Pelodiscus sinensis: one gene and its partner. The protein of the gene in region 1 interacts with the protein of each later gene in a biochemical or structural test. Links are inferred from orthologs where the notes say so. Each region holds a gene or a part of one and is shown in the gene's direction. Other genes may lie near its edges.

Region 1 (9,987 bases):
TATGAGGAGGTGCTCTGAAGAGCAGCAGCGTGGGTGGCTCCCAGCGGGACTGAGCAGTCCTGACTTGTGCCAGGACCACTGCAGCTGTGCCTCCCCTGCCCATACCCTATGCACAGCAGAGATGGTGCTAGGGGGGACCTGGTTTTTAAAGACAGCTCCCTTCAGCACTGGCTCCTGCTTACCTCCTCACCACTTGCTGCCTCTGATACAGAGACTGAGTCTATGCTCATGGGGTAGTCAACTGCTCAAGTAGTTGCTTACATCCCTAGTCCGGGGACCTACCCCTGCTGAGGATCTGCAATTTAAATGTAGAAGACACTGGGCTGCCTGCCTGCCCAGCTCCTACTGCATTTAAACTGCAAAGCCTCAGTGGGGGTAGCTCCTGGACCCAGCAAAAGACAAGACTAACTGCTTCTTCCCTTATCGACTAATCGTGTAGTTGATAAAAATTTATCATCGACTACACAATTAGCAAATTACCCATCTCTTAATATCCTAAATGCCCATGGATAGAAAATGGATTTCTGCACATTTGCTGTATTCTAGATACAAAAAATCTGTATTTGCAACAAAAAAAAAAAAAAAAAAAAAAAAGTTGCAGATGGGTATCCACATCCACAGATGTGTATGTGACTATGGATATAAAGCAGATATCCGTGGATTTGCAGGGCTCTACTTAGAAGGACAGAATGACAATGCCTTCAATTGTTCATTGCCCCTCCAAAGCCCTAAGGATCATGCCAGCTGGCTCCAAACAGAGTCCATCCAAATCTCCTTAGACAGGAGAGCAGCTGTGAAGTAGGAAAGCAGGAAGATTATCTAGGCTTCAGAGGGAACAGGGATCAGAGGAAATAATGTACTACTTGAGAATCAGAGATGTGAAACATTGCAATATGATCAATTTTACTTACCCAACTCTAAAAACATCAGCCAGTTTTAGGAATGCAGAATTAATGAGAATGGGGAATGGATATTTCTGAAAGAGCCTGGGAAAACGGACAACAGCTTCACATTGCTCCCCAAGTTTTCCAGACCTGAGGCCTATGTGAGAAAGAATAATTATATTCTAGCAGAATAGTTATGGTTTTCTCTATGATTGAAAAACTTGAGAGATTATCTAGAGTGGAAATAATATGGGGCATCAATGAAATCTAGCATGTGAGGTAAATTAGGCTATTCACCCTCTTGTAAAATATATTACATAATGAAATTGAAAAGCAAAACATCCTCAACTGGTCAAAAAAGAAACACTCCCCATACATGCACAATGCAGTTAACCTACAGAACACACAAGATACAATGGAGGCAGAAACCTTAGCTGGATATCTGGGGGAGGGGAAAGGATTGGACATTTATATGAATGAGAACATCCAGTACAGTTGTCCCCACCCTGAAAACACTTAAACGCACATTTAACTATACTCTCATGGACAGTCCCATTGAAAATTATAGGACTATTCGGGTGAGCAAAGTTACACATATGATATAATGTTTGTAGGATCATGGCCTTGGATAGGATAAAACATACATACATTCAAAATTTAAAATGTGCAAGGTAACGTTGATTTTTCTGAAAGTGAAGTTAAATATTCTCTGCAGAAAGAATGATTAAAACTGATATTTTTAATACCAATGTCTAACATTTCTATTGGTTCTTATCAGTTGAAAACTGAGTCAATCTTCTGTCATTAACAAGTGAGCAAAATAGTTTTAAAGCAAAACATATGTACTCATAATTAGCACTATTTAAAAGCTGTGCTAACTGTACTACTGTTTCTTTCCATACTAAGTCAGTTCAGGAATATGCTTGAGAAATATCACTGAGATATTAGATACACACAGTCAAAGGCAACAGAGCAAGCATACAATACAATGCTGCAAATTCCAGGCACTAACTTTCCATCAGTTCCTACAGATTTGAATCCATACTCAGTTTAGTTAATATGATTATTAATCATGTATGTTGCAGCAGCATGAGAAGGCTACAGACAGCTTGAGTCATGTTGTATTAGACAAGAACTTCATGTTAATAAGCAGGGCCCGACAAATAATGTGATCTACTCGCCACCGAGTAGATTACAACTCGTAAGAGCCGGCGCAGAGCACAGAACTGCGCGAAACCATGCAGCTGGCGAGCAGGACTTGCCACTGCTTGGCTAGCCCTGTTAAGTGTTCTCAAAACAAGTAATTTCATTCAGTCTATAGCTTAGAAGTGCTCCTCGATTCCTCACTAACATCAAGGCTACACCTACACTGCAGGGCTATGTCTACACTCGCGGCTTCTTGAGCGAGTAATATGCAAATGAGACTAAGTGTGGAATATCGCTGAGCCTCATTTGCATACCTAATGAGCCACCATTTTTTTTCCAGAAGAGGCTCTTGCGCAAGAAGGAGCGTCTACACTGCCCCTTCTTGCATAAGAAAAACCTTCTTGCACAATACCATTCTTCCTGTCAAGTAATAGGTGTAATTGCATTGCGCAAGAGGGTTTTACTTGCACAAGAGCCTCTTCTAAAAAAAAAAAAAAAAAAAAAAAAGGTGGCTCATTAGGTATGCAAATGAGGCTTGGCGATATTCCACACTTAGCCTCATTTGCATATTACTCGTGCAAGAAGCTGCGAGTGTAGACATAGCCCAGGCTTCTGGCACAAGAACTGTTTTGCAGAAGAGTTTTTGTGCAAAAGGTCTTCCTCAAGGGTGCGTCCACACTGCCACGTGCTTTTGCGAAAGAGATGCTTTTGTGCAAGTGTCTCCATGGCAGTGTGGACACTCTCTTGCATAAGAAAGCTCTGATGGCCATTTTAGCCATAGGGATTTCTTGCACAAGAAATTCATGTTGCCTGTCTACACTGCCTTCTTGTGGAAGAGCTCTTGCACAAGAGGCCTTATTCCTTGTGGAGAGAGGAATAGCTCTTTTGGAAGAAGCCCGGTTTTCCGACACCATACTGTAAATTTACTTGCACAAGAACATGAGTGCAGTGTAGACAGACACTCTGCAACTTTTTGCGCAAAAAGCCTGAAGCGTAGACGTAGCCTCAGGGTATGTCTACACTTGCACCCTCTTTCGAGAGAGGAATGCAAATGAAGACGTTTGAAATTGCCAATGAAGCTGGGATTTAAATATCTCATTTGCACATTCGCGTTATGGCGCTCTTTTGAAATAGCGCTATTTCGAAATAACAGATGCTGTTAAGATGGGTTTTCTCTCAAAATAACTATCTTAACAGCATCTGTTATTTCGAAATAGCGCTATTTTGAAATAGCACCATAACACAAATATGCAAATGAAGCATGGATGTTTAAATCCCAGCTTCATTTGCAATTTCCAATGTCTTCATTTGCATCCCTCTCTCAAAAAAAGGGTACAAGTGTAGACATACCTTTGCCAGGATGTGACACAGTTTAGGGTAACCTGGCCTAAGTTATCACCTCTTAGTTGGACTACAGCAATGCAACACAGATGGATATGAAACCTTAGGAAACCCCAATCGGTACAGAATACTGACTAGCGTTTCCTCAGCGCTGTGTTTATGGCAACCAACATCAGACTTATCCTCCACTCCCTACACTGTTCTAGTGATCTGACTGTATACCAAAGATAAACAATAGTAGGGATGTAAAATCCCATTTAAAATGTTGAACAATTAACTGGCCCAGCCATGCCAGGAACCTGTTAACTAGTTACCCGGTAAGCACTGCCTTACTGGCATGCTTGCCTTTACACCCATAGTCAATAGGTAGATTGGCTACATCTAGACTGGCATGATTTTCCACAAATGCTTTTAACGGAAAACTTTTTGCGGAAAAGTACTTTTTGTGGAAAAGCGTCTATGCCAATCTAGACACGCTATTGCGCAAAAAAGCCCCGATCAGGCAAAAGTCCTTTTGCGCAAAGGGGCCAGTGTAGACAGCTCAGATTTGTTTTGCGCAAAAGAGCCTCGATCACAAAAATGGCAAGCGGGGCTTTTTTGCGCAAAAGCACATCTAGATTGGCACGGACGCTTTTCCGCAAGAACACTGACAATCTCATGTAAGATTGTCAGTGCTTCTGCGGAAATACTATGCTGCTCCCATTTGGGCAAAAGTCTTTTTCTGAAAGACTTTTGCGCAAAAGGGCCAGTGTAGACAGCAGAGATTTCTTTTCCGCAAAAAAGCCCCGATCTCGAAAATGGCGATCGGGGTTTTTTTGCAGAAAAGCGCGTCTAGATTGGCCATGGATGCTTTTCCGCAAAAAGTGCTTTTGCGGAAAAGCATCCTGCCAATCTAGATGCACTTTTCCGAAAATGCTTTTAACGGAAAACTTTTCCGTTAAAAGCATTTCTAGAAAATCATGCCAGTGTAGATGTAGCCTCATTGTGTATCAAATCCACACCAGCAGACACTTTTGAATGGACCACAAAATCTCATTTACTTGTTATTGTTTGTATCAATTTCTCTGGAATCTGGACAGTGGCTATGTTTTGATCAGGACATTTGGACCTTTATGAAAAGTAATCGATTATTCCAGATCTAGATCCAAAAATATTTAAGGGCAGGTCTCCACTACAGAATTACTTTGATACATCTATGTCACTCAGGGGGATGAACCTCTGTGCATCATATTTGTAGCAACCTCAGCACCACTATAGGCAGAGTATGTGAGTAGCTACTGCCTCTTAGGTCACCCCCTCAATTTAGATCATCTTAACTAAATCACTACAGTGGAATCTGTGCTGATCGACCAACCAAAGCTTTAGAATGAAGACTATGGTTAACAACTTCTCTTTTCTGGCACAATCAGAGTAAAGCTCTGTGCAGGAAAGAGATTTCCCAGTCTCTGCAATGTCTATAAATCTATGCAATGAACTTTCACAGTAGCCAAGAGGCATCACAAGACACATCTCCATGGACTTGGCTGTCACTAAACCAAATTCAGGATGTGGTCTGACAGGTGCCTTGCCCCTGGGAGGCTGGGGACAGACTGCCTAAGCAGCAATTTGGCAGAAAAAGACCCGGGGATTGCAGTGGATGAGAAAAAGGCACAATGGTCTCAAGTTACAGTGGGTGAGGTCTAGGTTGGGTATTAGGAAAAACTATTTCACTAGGAGGGCAGTGAAGCCCTGGGATGGGTTCCCTAGGGAGGGGGTGGAATCTCCATCCCTAGAGGTTTTTAAGTCTCAGCTTGACAATGCCCTGGCTGGGATGATTTAGTTGGGATTGGTCCTGCTTTGGGCAGGGGGCTGGACTAGATGACCCGAGGTCTCTTTCAGCGCTGGGACTCTGTGAGCGCAGAGGGCAGCAAGCAGGCGCTGGGCGGGCAGGGCAGGGGGGAGGCAGGAAAAGCCACGCGGGCCGGAAGTCCTGCGGCTGCCCAGAGGGCGGGGGCACACAGGGCAGAGGCAAGAACCGGCGCGCCGCACGCTAGGGCGGCACCGATGGCAGGAGAGGGCGAGGGGCGGGCTGGGGCCTGTCTGGGCCTGGGCGGGGCGGTGTCTCCAGGCCGGCTCCCCGCCGTTAGCGCGCACCGCGCCAGACCGACTGAGACGGAGATTCCGCTGCCAGCGCGCGCATGCGCCTCCAGCCACGGCTAGGCCCTGCGCTCTCCTACCTTTGTCCAGCTCCATAAGGGCGGAGTTAGCATCCAGCTCTTGCTCGCCGTAGCCCGCATCTGCCAGGAAGGACTTAGCGCCGGAGGCCATGGCGGTACCCGCTCCCGCACTAGATCGCAGCACGACCTGTAAACCCACTGCGCAGCTACCTACGTGCCTCAGCCTCAAGTGCAATTGCGCATGCGCGATTGTCCGCACCACTGACCTATTCCCGCTCCCGCCACTACGTCCCGGGACGCATGCGCCCTCACGAGCTGCAATTTAGACTCGTACTCCCCGCCCCCAGGTCTGCTGCCCGTGTACAGTGATCCGCTTCAACCTACCACCTTAACCTCAGCGTCTGTAGCACCTAGCGTGGGGACTAGGGGAGAGGGAAATGGCTGCGGCCTCGGGCCCCGCCCCGGAGCCCCTGCCCAGTGGGAAGTAGTGGGTGTGGCCTCCTGCCCCGCCTACGTTGTCCTGTCCAATGGCAAGCGGGAGTGGAGTTTGGCGGGTAGCGCGAGTGGCGGGAGTAGACGCTCCTCTGTCCGTTTTGTGTCCCGGTCGCTGTGGGAGTCACTGGCCATGCTCTGCCGCTCGCTCCTCCACCGAGCCCGGGACGGGCCGCAGCGTGAGTATCGGGCCGCCCCAACGGGGACCGCGATCGCCTGGCCCGACCCTGCCGACCGCGGGAGCCCTGCCTGCGGTGTGCTGAGCCCGCAACTCCTGGGATCGCCTGCTCGGCTTCGGCCCGGCGCGAGGGGCTGGGTGCCGGGGCCCCGGAGAGGGGAAGGGCAGGCAGGTGCCAGTTCTTTCCCCGACGCATGGCTGTAGCTGTAGTGCGGCCCTGGTGCCTTCTCCGTCCTTGCTTGGCAGCCCCATCGCTGGGGCGCCCCTCTCTTTGAGAGATCACCCCACGGATGAGGCTCTCCAGCCGGGGGAGGTGCTCGCAGCTGTCCGCGATGGTGTGGGGATCGGGTAGACTGGCACGTCTCATGGGACGTTTCTCCCTAGATCGTTGTAGCTAATGGAACAGCAAATGCCCGGTACATGTAGATTCTTCTGTTTAGTGTTCAAACTATGACTAGTACTTTGGCCCCATGACGAAATGGAAAATCCCATCGACGTCCAAAAACCTGGATAAGACCTCTTACTGGAAGAAGTTAGTAGGTCTTATTGCAGCAACTCAAAATGCCTGATAAATGACAAAATACACATATTTTTAGGTTTGTCTTTGCAATATCCCCTGCAACATCTCTTGGATTGCTATGAGTGCAGTCAGCTAGATGACCACTTTTCTTATGGAGAGACGGGAATGCCAGTTCCTCCTTTCGGTTGCACCTTTTCTACAGGTAAGTGTTCTTTTTTAAAATCAAAATGCTATGCTAGAGCCCAAGCTGTCTGCACATAAATATGTACAGACTTTAATACGGCTACGCCCTGAAAGATATTGTAGCCATTTATTTTGAATATTCAGTTTCATAAAGAGCCCTTTATATCAGTGACAAAATAGACTAGACCAGGGCTACTTAACATGTAGCCTGTTTGTGGCCCACGGGTGGGAGCCAAAACAAAAAAGTACTCCATGTATAATGGTCTTCGGTTGATACGTGTTTTAGCAGTTAAATTCCTGGACTGACATTGCTCATTAAAAGTGCTGTCATATGGGTGGAAATTGGGTAAGTATTTCATTTTATTAATATCAGCAGAACTAACTTAAATGGGGCCTGTGTGTTGTGTAATCTTGCCTTAATCTTTGTATTCATGCCCCTCAGTGTGAAAAGCTATTTACATATATTTGGGGCTTCCAAAGTTGAGTAGCTCTGGACTAGACAGTTAATGACACATCTACCAGAGCAACTATTAAGAATAAGCTCTTAGGTCAAAATGTCCCTTGCCATTTTTCAGATATGGATGCTATATTCAAAAATCCATTATTTCTTTAAGGTAAATTGGGTAACACTATGGCTGTGTCTACATTGGCAGCCTTTTCTGGAAAAGGGATGCTAATGAGACACTTTGGAATTGCAGATGCTGCGGGGGATTTAAATATCCCCTGCGGCATTTGCATGAACATGGCTGCCGCTTTTTTCCAGCTCGGGGCTTTGCCGGAGAAAAGCGCCAGTCTAGACAGGATCTTGCGGAAAATAAAGCCTTTTCTGGAAGATCCCTTATTCCTGATTTTAAGAGGAATAAGGGATCTTCCGGAAAAGGCTTTATTTTCTGAAAGATCCCGTCTAGACTGGCGCTTTTCTCCAGCAAAGCCCCGAGCTGGAAAAAAGTGGCAGCCAGAGGCGGATTTAGGGCAGGGCGAGCGGGGCGGCTGCCCTGGGCCCCGCGTTTCCCGAGGCCCCACGCATGCGCCTTGGCACCACGGCGCATGCGCTGTGTCAAAGGGGGGGGGCGCGAAATTTTGCTGCCCGGGGCCCCGCGGAACTCTCATCTGCCCCTGGCGGCAGCCATGTTCATGCAAATGCCATGGGGGATATTTAAATTTGCATTTGCAATTCCGAAGTGTCTCATTAGCATCCCTTTTCTGGAAAAGGGTGCCAATGTAGACACAGCCTATGATTTAATTTGATAAAATAGAACTATGCAGCATGATGGACCATTGGCAGTATTATGGGATTGCTATGCATTTTAATAAAGTGAGTTCAATTAAAGCATTTAAATAAATGTACACACTTTCACAACTTTTGATTTCAGCCTTATTTGAGACAAAGTATGTCTTGTTGTGGCACTAAAACTAGGTCTGTACTAGACCCAGAAGGTCAGCTTAAGGTACTCAATGAAAAAAGTCAAGCTTGGTGCTATCTGCACAGGGAGAGGTTGATGAGAGCTCCCATCAGCTTCCCTTACTCCTTGCAATTACGAGAAGACCTGGTGTCCACTGGGCGGGCACCCTTGGTGTTCGATTTATTGGGTTCTTACTAGACACACTAATGCCAGAAGATCGATCTCCAGCATGGCAAGTGGAGACATGGCCTATGATGTTTGCAAATTTAGGTTGGTCTTTGTTCATAAGTAACTAGGATCAGGAATAGAGTGAGGAGTAGTAAATGGAAACGGATGAGAAGGAAGATGTGCTTCTAAAACCCATGTGCTTCTAAAACACTGGCCGCTTGAATTTGCGCAAGAGCACTGACGTTCTAATGTAAGAATTCAGTGCTTCTTGCGCAAATGCTTTGATGCTCCCGCTCAGGGATAAGCCCTCTTGCGCAAGAATACTTGCACAAGAGGGCCAGTGTAGACAGGCACCTTAATTTTTTGCGCAAGAAAGCCCGATGGCTAAAATGGCCATCTGACCTTTCTTGCGCAAAAGCGCGTCTATACTGGGCACAGACGCTTTTGCGCAAAAGCATCCGTGCCAATCTAGACGCTCTTTTGCGGAAATACTTTTAACGGAAAAGTTTTTCCATTAAAAGTATTTCCGCAAAATCATGCCAGTCTAGATGCAGCCCATGTGTATCACTTTCTTCATGGGTGACAGTTGCTGGCTTGATTGACAGGCCTGGATATTGAAATCCTGATCTGGAGGTAAATCACTGGCATTAGCTGTGCAAGATTTTCCACACTGTCCCTCCTGTCCTGTGTAGGGATGTTAAATTTCAATTGATTAGCTAATTGAATAGTCGATGGGATTTCCATTGTCTATTTGATTAGTCTATAAGAACTTCTGTGTTCCAGCGGGGACTCTTGTACATTTCAAAGTTGGCCACCACTGTGCCCCTGCCCCCTCCCACGGAGATGGAGTGAACCAGCTTGTAAGCCAGTTCCCTCCAGCATCCCTCCTCTTCCACCCCCTTACTGCCTCTTTGTGATAGCAAGGGGGGGAAGCGACTAGTTGACTAGTGTGTTGACTGTCGGATAAACTAATGACTCGTCGATTAGTCGCTTACATCCCTAGCCCTATGCCTAAATCCTGGCCTAAAGGAATTACCAAACTGTAGAGGATAGTTAATTTTTTATATTTATTCAACACTGTGAACAAGGTGATAGAAATGTAGCCATGTTAGTCTGGTGTAGCTGAAACAAAAAACAGGACTGTGTAGTACTTTAAAGACTAACAAGATGGTTTATTAGATGATGAGCTTTCGTGGGCCATACTCACTTCCTCAGATCAAATAGTGGAAGAAAATTGTCACAAATTATACCAAAGGGTACAATTAAAAAAATGAACACATATGAAAAGGACAAATCAAATTTCAGAACAGAAGGAGGATCGGGGGGAGGTAAATGTCTGTGAGCTAATGATATTAGAGGTGATACTTGGGGAAGCTATCTTTGTAATGGGTAAGATAATTAAAGTCTTTGTTCAAACTTAGGCGTAAAGTGTCGAATTTATGCATGAATGACAGTTCAGAGGATTCTCTTTCAAGTGTAGTCTTAAAAGGCCTTTGAAGTAGGATGCAGGTAATTA
Region 2 (9,550 bases), on another chromosome or scaffold:
GCAGCAGCTCCATGGAGTTCCTATATTAGGAAGGCTGGGGTTTCAGGTGATCTCCCCACCTCAGTGCAGCCAGTGGTCTGTTCTTCCCTCTGCTAGGAATGTGAAGATCAGGGGTTTTCCAATGGCCTTCCTGTCACAGATTTCCAGTATGACATTGGACCCATAATTTAAGGCTTGGCCTCAATGGATTTTTTTTCCACTGATTAAAAAAACAACAGATAAGGAACGTAATTATCCTGTGCCTCAGTTTCTCTATCTGAAAAAGGAAGAATAATAATACTTTCCTGCCTCTCAGGAATTTGTGGTTTTAGTTCATTGGTTTTAGTTAGGTGTTTTGATGTCATCAAATGGAAAGTGCTAAGAAGAGCACTTTTGCAACGTGTTTTTTACAATTTCAAAATCTTTCTGCTTTATTTATGCAGTAGCCACAGCTCCTGGATTATAGAATTTCAATTTGGGAATGTATTGGATTATTCCTACTACCTTATGTGATGCTGGAGCAATTTATCAGAAGAGGCAGGGACAGTGAGAGCAGGGCTTCACCCAGCCTCCCCCAGCATCACTTATCAGAGGGCTAGTCAAAGATGTAGGTAGGCCAGCCACTTTATGCTGCATGTATGCTACAGCATTTGTAACAGCAGGTACCCTGTGCTCACCTGTCCTCATGTCCAGGTCCAGCTAGGTGGGACCAGGAAGAACAATAGGTGGCCAGAAGGAATGGATCTCCCTCCACCTGGGCCAGAGGAGCTCTTTGGAGCTTTCCCACAGCTAAGTGGCAACCTGTTCAAATTCTGTGCTGGTGTCAATGGGCCTCAACAGTCAGGAAACCCCAAAGTCAGGGTCAATGTCTGTTTTTCACAAGGCAAATGCAGCCCTCGAGGCCTAGTCCCAAAGTACAGTTCTCTCTACCCAGGGTAAATACAGTCCTGTAGGCCTAGTCCCAAACACACTCGTCTCTGAGTTACTGTGGCCTAGAGGCCTAGTCCACAGGTCAGTCTCCCCAGAGTGCCAGGGAATGGAATGGGGAGATAGGTCCCAGCCTCCAGAGCCCTGTTAGCAGTACAGGCTTTCACTGCCTTCTCAGTGTGGATGCCAGCCAAAGTGCACTGAGCTCCCAGAGGACAATCCTCTGCTCTTGGCCACTTCCTACCATCCTGGCACACTGCTCAGCTCTCCAGGTGTTGTTCAGCACGTCTCTCTCTCCCATGGCTGGAAAGAGAACAGGGCCTGGGCTGGGAAGCTACTGCTTCTCCAAGTAGAAGCTTCAATAACTGCCCATGGTGGAGGCTGCTGTTCCAAGGCACACAATAAGAGGGTTGTGGGGCTGATACTAGCACACGTGCAGTGAAAATCCTCCTGCAGAGTGTCTAATATGTGGCAGCCACATCACCCAGAAAGTGGCCAGGGGACACCATTTGCCACCACTCCAGGTAAGTTGTTCCCCTTGCCTCAAATCCTTTGTCCTCTCCCCCCAGGGAGGCTGCAGGAAAAGGAGTGGGGACTGCTGGAGGCTGGAGCCTGCACCTGGGGCCCTCTTTCCTATCCTGCTGACTGCCTGCAGGCCGCACTGGCCCCTGAAGGGCTGGATCAGTCCCCAGAACCTGTCCTCTTGCACAGAGAGCCTGCAGGCTGCAAGGGGAGAAGGTTCTGGAGGCTGGGACTGGCCTGCAAAGTGTTGCCTCCCAATTGGACAGGTTGCAGGGCAGGGCCACCCATGCAGCTCCGGTCTCCTACCAATCAGGAATTGCAGTCCCAGGCTGGCACCACAAAAGGAATGGCTGGCTGGAGAGTGCAGCCCTTCCCCCCCGGGTAAGTTGCCACCACAACAACACCACCCTCACAGTCCCAGTAAGCTTTCCCCCTTCCCCCTCCCCCAGCTTTCCAGCCCCCTGCTCTGAGTCCTGCAACTGTCACTCCCTGGCTTCAATCCTGCACCTCCACCCCATGCCAAAGCCCCACCCCCACATACTAGGGTTGCCAGATGGTTTCAACAAAAATACCGGACATACTTGACATGACATCACAATCGACATTCCATCTTATTTAGAAAATACCGGAAATTTCTATTTTCTCAATTTATTTCCCGGACAGAAAGCTCAAATACTGGACTGTCCGATTCAAAACTGAACACCTGGCAACCCTACCACATACCCAGCCCTCTGTCCTAGACAATCATGGAAATAACGCATGTACATCTCTCTATATAAACAAGTTTTTCCTGCTGCACAACAGAATGATATCATCAGCATATATCCCTCGTATAGCTGGATACCTGTGGTGATGTCTACCGGTTAAGGAAGTACTGTAACATGTACTACGTGATCAATAGACCAATTAACATTTTTTTCTATGTGGCTTCATTTGTTCACTTTTCTATATTATCAATGCAAGATTAACTGGCTCTCTGACCACAAAAGAGGCCAGAGAGAGGGGGCTTGGCAAGCATAGTGAGCAGAGTGTTTCCTTTTGATTTAAAAATAACCCGAACGTTACTAGAGTTAAAGACCCAAGCAACACCGGATACATCTGCCAGTTTATATTCCTGAATTAAACTTCCTAAAGCATGGAGAGGGGAATCATCACAGGTACCTTTTAGTGCCTTGTGAGGATTTGTGCATCCACTTTAGTGTCCCCATGTGGGTGCAGAAAGGGGGTGCAAGGGTTAGCAGTGAAGGGTGCAGGGATTAGGGCCCCAGGAGGGGAATGCAGGGGTTAGCGCTGCTGCTTTGCACACAGGAATGAGTGGGGACAGAAGCTGGGTCAGTGGGACTGGGAGAAGGAGTGAAGCTGTTGGCAACAAGGAGACAGAAGAACAGCCTGAATTTCTCCCTGCAAAGTGGAGACGCGAAGGAGGAATTGTGTGTGTGGAGGGGAGGAGAGTCCTGCCTACAGCTACAAGGAAACAGCAAATTAAAAGCAGAATAGGAGCAATGGATGCACTATCCCTCCTGGCTGAGTCCCACTGTTGGGCATCTGGCAAGGCAAGCTCCCCACTATAGGGGCAGGCCTCCAACCCATGTCCCTCCTTGCCAGGTGGTGCATAGCTCCAGCCTTTCCAGTCCTGGTACACAGGCAGGATGGAAGGCCCCAGACTCTGTTTGGCTCAAGTGCAGGCAGCCTTAGGATACTGGAGGAAGCTGTGCTAAGGCTCCACACAATCATTTTTTCCTCTCTCTTTACCTACTTGTCTCTCCTGCAGCTGGCAACATAAACATCAATGCCCCTTGCTTAGCAGTACAGAGCGGCAAGAAAAACATGCGCGAGACCAAGATGCCTCCACTGGAGAAGAAATGGCTCCTTCCTCTATGTCTGGATATGTGTGTGGTTGTTATGGACGGGACTAGTGCTGTCATTTTCTAAACGTCCCAGCATTCAGTAAAGGGTAAACCCACCCCACAGCCTCTTGTCATTACCAGACCCAGCAGTTTGGCAGCAATTCCCAGGGGGCAGCGGTGAATGAAGGAGAAGATGGCCAGGAAGATGGGGAGCCCCCCCGAGCCTCGCTCTGCCCCAAATCCCTCCTCACTGTGCTTCTGAACCAGGCACTCAGGTCCCCAGCCCTGCTCTAACCACTAGACCCCAGTTCCCTCCCAAACCCTGAGTGAGAACCCAGGACTCTTGGCTCCTAGCCCCCCTGCTTTAACCACTGGACCTAATTCTGGGATGGAAGTTGCATTTGCTCAACAGGACTGAGGCTGTGGACAGTGTTCCCTCTAAGATTTTCCTTCCATGAGTGGAGTGAGTTTTGTCTTGTGTGCCAACAATGAGGTCACTCATGCTTGTTCAGATGTGTGCCACTGTGGCACTCACCAGGGGTGCTGCTCCCTAAAAGATTCTCCCAGGTAGTGCCCCCCCATCTCTTGGGGAGAAGGGATGATGCGCCCACTCCAGGGAGTGCTACTCCCTGAGCAGCGTGTTTGCAGGGCAGGCACTGTCCCAGGTTGCTCCTTGCAGGGCTGGCTGTGAGTCCCCACCTGGAGCAGAAAGAAGCTGCTGCTAGCACCCAGGATTTTCGGGGATTGAGGTGCTGAGTGACATGTGGGGAACAGGGGGGATAGAGGGTTGGGGGACAGAATTCTGAGGGGCAGAAGAAAGGTGTGGGAGGGGGGAGAGAGGTGCAGGAGGCACCAGTCCCAGGAGCTAAAGCACCACTGCCTGGCTCCAGCTTTGGGCAGCCACTATATGGCCAGCCCAACAAGCAGTCAGGAAGCCACTTTGCGGCCCTGAACTCAGCTCCAGCCCTGGGGAAGGGTTAGGGCTGGAGCAGGCCCCAGCTACTGGCCTTGGCTGCCAGAGCAGCCCTGACCCTTCCCTCCCTCCACACACACAGCCCCACGCCCCCTGAGTCACCTCCTCTGAGCCACCCCCAGCCCTCGAGCAGGTCCTGGCACCCCATTTGCCCCCACCATGTGGCAGGTCTCAGTCCTGTCTGCCAAAGCAGGCCTCAACCCCGTCCCCTGTCACGCGGCAGGTCCCGGTCCCGGCCCCAGCCACTGGAGGAGGCCCTCCCTCGCCGCCACGTGGCCTCTGTCCCCCCCAAGGCTCCTCCTCACAATGCAGCCTCCGCCCCCTACCAGGGTCCTGGGTCCTCTTCCTTATATTCCTTTCTCTCCCCTGACAGAAGAGGGGCTAGAGGCTCCCTCCCTGACACCTGGTTCCCCTTTCCCAGGCTTCAGCAGAGCTACTGAGCATGCTCAGTAATCCTAAATTCTCCAAGAGGTAGCTGTGTTAGTCTGTAACTTAAAAAACTAAATGAGTGGTCCTGTAGTACCTTAGAGACTAACTCTCTCTCTCTCTCTCTCTCTCTCTCTCATCATGCGCTTTTGTGGGCACAACCCACTTCTTCAGATGAGTGGAGTCAGAGGGGCACAGAAACTTAAAATTTTAAAGCAAAAAAAGGGGGACAGAGGGAGGAGGGAAAAAACCTGTCCAGTTTCCTCCCTGCTAAATGAAGCTAATGGTGTAGGCTGTGTCTGATCCTTAGCTTTTGATGTAATTTGGGTGTTGAATATAACAGCCCATACAGAAATTATCTGAATCCCTAAATTCTCCCCAAGTAGCACAGTCCAATAGGGAGCCGCTCTGTACAAATATGGCCTGGTATATACCGCCAACTTAAAGCCCACAGCCCCACACACAGTGGCTAGGTTGAACCCAAAGTTGTCACAGGATCCAGAACGTCTCGCCCACAAGGCGAGGGAGACAAAGCTCCAATCACAGCCCCACGTCTCTTCGCGTGGACCAATCAGCGAGCAGGGGACGCACATTTAAACACCCTCACCGGGAGGCAGCCGCGCTGACTCAGATGGCTCCAATGCAATAAGGGAAGGCGGGACGTGTTCCCGTTGCGTTCCAATCAAAGCTCAGAGAATTGTGACAGGCACCTGGGGGCGCCAATCAGGCAGCGGAAGGTGAGAGCTCAGTGTATCTCTTTGGAGCAGTTCGACAGCCGTGCTGTCTCGGTGCAGCAGCCCCAGGGAGTTCTCCGACTATTGCCAAGACCGCCGGCTCCTGGAGCCATGGCTAAAGGTAGCCATCCTGACAGGTGCCAGGAGCAGGGTAAGCAAGGGGGCGGGGCTGGAGATGGGCAGGGGGCGCATGTGGGGTGGCGGCGCCGAGGGAGCCGTGCTGGCATGTGTGGGATGCGGGGCAGGGAGCGGCTGGGTGGCGGTAGCACGTGGGGGCGAGGGCGTTCTGAGGAAGGGCGCGGGCTGCGGGGTGTGAATGGAGCGGGGCTATCTGGGGCGGCTGTGACTTGGGGGGCTGGGACGCGGTGGGGGCTTGTGGGACCCGTGGGGGGGCAGGGGCTGGGACGCGGTTGGGTGACTCGGGGGGGGTCTGTCTTGCGGGGGCGCTGTGAGCGGGGCTCTAGGGAGACGCGTGTTTCCTTGGGAGGGGGGCTCAGCCCCCCAGCGGCCGGGCTGGTTTGTCTCCTCTCTCTCTGCTCGCCGCAGCGTGTCCTCGGCGGCTCCTCCCCCAAGCGGGGTGCGCGCTGGGCCGGCCCCGAAGGGGCAGGGCTGCCTGGGCTTGGCTCGCTGCACCGAGCCCTTGGAACATGGCGCAGGTGGCGGCGGCTTTGGCCGCTGCCGGCAAGTGAAGCAGGCGCCGGGCATGGCTCTGATGCCTCCTTCCCCTGCTCTCCCCTAGGCAAGACCATGCCCAAGCCCCGCGGCGGCAAAGCGGAGGAGGCGGCTCCGGAGAGCACCGAGCGGCGGGGGCCCGGCCGCCCCAGGATGAACGGGGTAAGCGCCCTGCCCGTCTCCCCCGCGCTCGGCAGAAAAGCAATTTCGTGCCCCTTCCAAGCCGGCCACCGGGCTGCGGAGGCGCCTCAGAAGCCGCCCCGGGAAAACGAGCCTAGGTCTGGGGAGCAAGGCAAAATCCCCTCCCCCTCCCAGGGCAGGGGGACGCTGCAGGAGCTGGGGGAGGCGGGAGAATATGTGTAGGAGTCCTTGTGATGCCGCCTCTTGCATCCAGCCTGGGCCTGCCGCCGCGCGCCCCAACTAAGGGGCGCCCTGAGCTGCTCCCCGCCCAAGCAGACGTGGCCATACGCAGCCCCTCCTGCTGGGACTCTGTACAGGCCTGGCTGCCGCTGCTTCCATCTGGGGAACTTGCCGCAGCGGCGGGCGCACTGAAGTCAATGAACCTGCTCACGTGAGTAAAATTACCCGTGTAGGAAGCTGCTGTTGCTGTTACTGCAGTAGCCTTCCAAGCCCTAGGCAGGATGCGAGAGTCACTCTAGCTTCAATCTTGCAAGCTGGTCCCCATTCATTGAGGCTTTGGCCAGGCTAAATGGTCTGTCTGTAGGAATCAGGGCAGCAGATGGGCCTATGGAAGCTGTATAAGCACTAACAATTAGTATCTCCCTGCCTGGAAGAAATGGCAGTCTTGGGTCCTCCAAATACTTATCCTCTGTGCCTGACTTCTAGCGTGTGATTAGTTGCATTGAAATTAAAGCATCTTTAAGTGTCCACAATCTTGGGACCTAAAGTACAGAATGAAGAAAACTATTTCTAGATAGGTAAAGGTCTTAAATGAGGGGGTATAGATATACACTACTCTGAGAGCCTTGAAATGGCCAGGAACTAATACAATGTTGCTCTTGGGTAAAGATTACAAATTACAGCTAAATCAGATTAAGGTGACAACATTTAAGCAGTTTATCAGTTTTTAAGTTACATATATGTTCCATAATAGGCTCCCTTTACATGTCATTGTTTATGCACCCTTATGTTCAGCTATGTGGTACATTTCATGCTTTACTATAAAGTTCCTTTTTAGTGAAAAATATTTTTTCATTTGAATCTGAAAATCTGTGGGGGGTTTTTTTGTGTGTGTGTAAGGAAATATAGGCAAGGCAATCTTACTTTTAGCTAAATTACATCAACATAATCATGACATGGTGGGATTGAAAATCAGAATTGCTACATAAAACTTAAGAGTCAAAGTGAGAGGGGGTAGTAGATAATGGTACTTCTCTAAGACCCCATATAAACCTTTCCCACACAAGTGCAGGGGATGATCATTCAATAAATCACCCTTTTCACTTTCTCTGAAGCATCTGGCACTGGCCATTTTGGAAACAGGATACTTGATGGGCCATTGGTTTGACCCAGTTTTGCCATGTTTACGTTCTTAGCTCACTGGAATGAGGCACCACTCATGGTGGATTGTCTTTCTAAATATGCGCATGGACTCTGTTGGACTCCTGGAGCATGTTTCACTCTCAGTGGGACTTAAATATGCCCGTGAGACACTTACCTGTGTTAAAGTGCTCTGCTGTGTTCTTGAGCTCATTATTGATTGAATAGATGGAGAAAAATTTAATAGAAGTTCTCTCCCAAACACCATCTTGTCATGATGCCAAAATGAAATGCTTTCTAACCTGCTCAGACAGTGTGCTAGAAACAATGCTGCTTAATTTTCCAATTGGTTAGACTGTTCTCTCTGATCATCTGTACCTCTGTGTACTGTATGTGTTGACATATGTTTTCCAATTGATTTTTTTTGAATGGGGGTCGTAGAAGAAACTCCAGATTATTATTATCAAAACGGAGGGTTTTTTAAACTAGCCTTTGATTTTTCTTTTTAATGCAATTTCAGGGGAAACATCAGCTTTCTAAATAATGGATTATATTGGTCTTTGGTCTGCACTAATGCAGAGAAAATCATCACATTGAATAATTATTCTGTTAAAAATAAACATTTGAGAGAGAAATGAGCACCAGATGCTGCTCTCTCACTAGCATTGCACCTTATGTTTAAGTCACTTGGGACTGGGTACACATCCCAAGAAAAGAATTTAGACCTGTACCCTAACACTTAAGTAAACTAACCTTATGCATTTATAGAATAGTGATAGAAATGTAGCCGTGTTAGTCTGGGGTAGTTGAAGCCCCCAATCATCACCTCTAATACCATTAACTCACAAACATCCCACTCTCCCTACCTCTAATATCAGTTCACAGACACTTACCTTCCTCCTCCCCCCCCCCCCCCCCCCGCATCCCTCTCCTGTTCTGCAATGTGATTTGTCCTTTTCATATTTGTTCATTTTTTTTAATTGTATCCTTTGGTATATATGGTTGTGACTACTTTCTTCCACTATTTGATCTGAGGAAGTGGGTCTGGCCCACGAAAGCTCATCATCTAATAAACCATCTTGTTAGTCTTTAAAGTGCTACATTGTCCTGCCTTATGTATTTAGTTTGTTTTTGAGGAAGTGTCTCTGAACAGACATTGCCATGCAAATTCTTAGCACAAGCTACAGGTTTAACTTCTCTAGTCTGGCACTCTCTGGTTTAGCAACCTCTGTGGTCCAGCATGAGTTCAGTTAACTGGATGTGCACTTATCATGGGTGTGGCCAAGTTTCCTTTGATCTCATAATGTTTGTTTACAGCTATCAGTCCTGGCTCTGTGTTCTTTGCTGTGATTTAGCTCTAATTTACTCCTACATCTTCAAAGAGCCAATAAGCAGTTGAAGTGTTAATAATGCTGCTAGACAATATTGACCTCCTGTGGTTCAGCAAATTCTCTGGTTAGCTCTGGACAGGTCCCAAAGCAGCCTAACTAGAGAGGTTTAACTTGTATTACTAATCACAGTCTGTGTCTGTGTCTGTGTCTGTGTCTGTGTGTGTTTAGATAAATGGATCCTCTGCTATTCAGATGCAAAATGTTACAGTTATGTGGGTGTTGGCCTATGCAGCATGATGCAGATAATTGGAGTCTTTGGGATTGAGATTTATTTGACATGAATCTTTTTTGGTTCTCTGTTTTAGGAGAACGTATTTGCTGGCCAGTCCAAAATCTACACCTACCTAAGTCCTAACAAATCTCCTGGTGCTCGTCCTCCACTTCAAGAGGAAAACTCAGTCATGCCTCATGAGGTGAAATGTCAGTGCAAAACACTAAATGAAACATGCAAAAGAGGAGATGGTAAGATTGACTTTCCACAAATTTGCTTGTGGGTTATTTGGCCCTGTGTCTGTATGTCTCAAACTTTCAAACTGGGATCTGAAATTGTACCTTTTTTTGTAGACTCTCTGCCTTCCC

Evidence for each region. The genes of interacting proteins can lie anywhere in the genome.
Region 2: the proteins of DTL (region 1) and KMT5A form a complex in vitro, tested with the Homo sapiens proteins (2 studies listed by BioGRID, with this or other methods). The link is inferred for Pelodiscus sinensis from reciprocal best matches to the Homo sapiens genes DTL and KMT5A.

Annotation. Positions count from the first base shown.
Region 1 is NC_134713.1:146,924,338-146,934,324, forward strand, and holds the start of DTL (denticleless protein homolog), read left to right. Parts: upstream 1-6,066; 5' UTR 6,067-6,152; coding exon 6,153-6,198; intron 6,199-6,793; coding exon 6,794-6,919; intron 6,920-9,987. Other genes in the region: INTS7 (integrator complex subunit 7), read right to left, coding at 912-1,041, 5,588-5,678. UniProt on the Homo sapiens protein: Substrate-specific adapter of a DCX (DDB1-CUL4-X-box) E3 ubiquitin-protein ligase complex required for cell cycle control, DNA damage response and translesion DNA synthesis.
Region 2 is NC_134725.1:31,416,948-31,426,497, reverse strand, and holds the start of KMT5A (N-lysine methyltransferase KMT5A), read left to right. Parts: upstream 1-5,295; 5' UTR 5,296-5,519; coding exon 5,520-5,559; intron 5,560-6,147; coding exon 6,148-6,242; intron 6,243-9,276; coding exon 9,277-9,433; intron 9,434-9,550. UniProt on the Homo sapiens protein: Protein-lysine N-methyltransferase that monomethylates both histones and non-histone proteins. Specifically monomethylates 'Lys-20' of histone H4 (H4K20me1).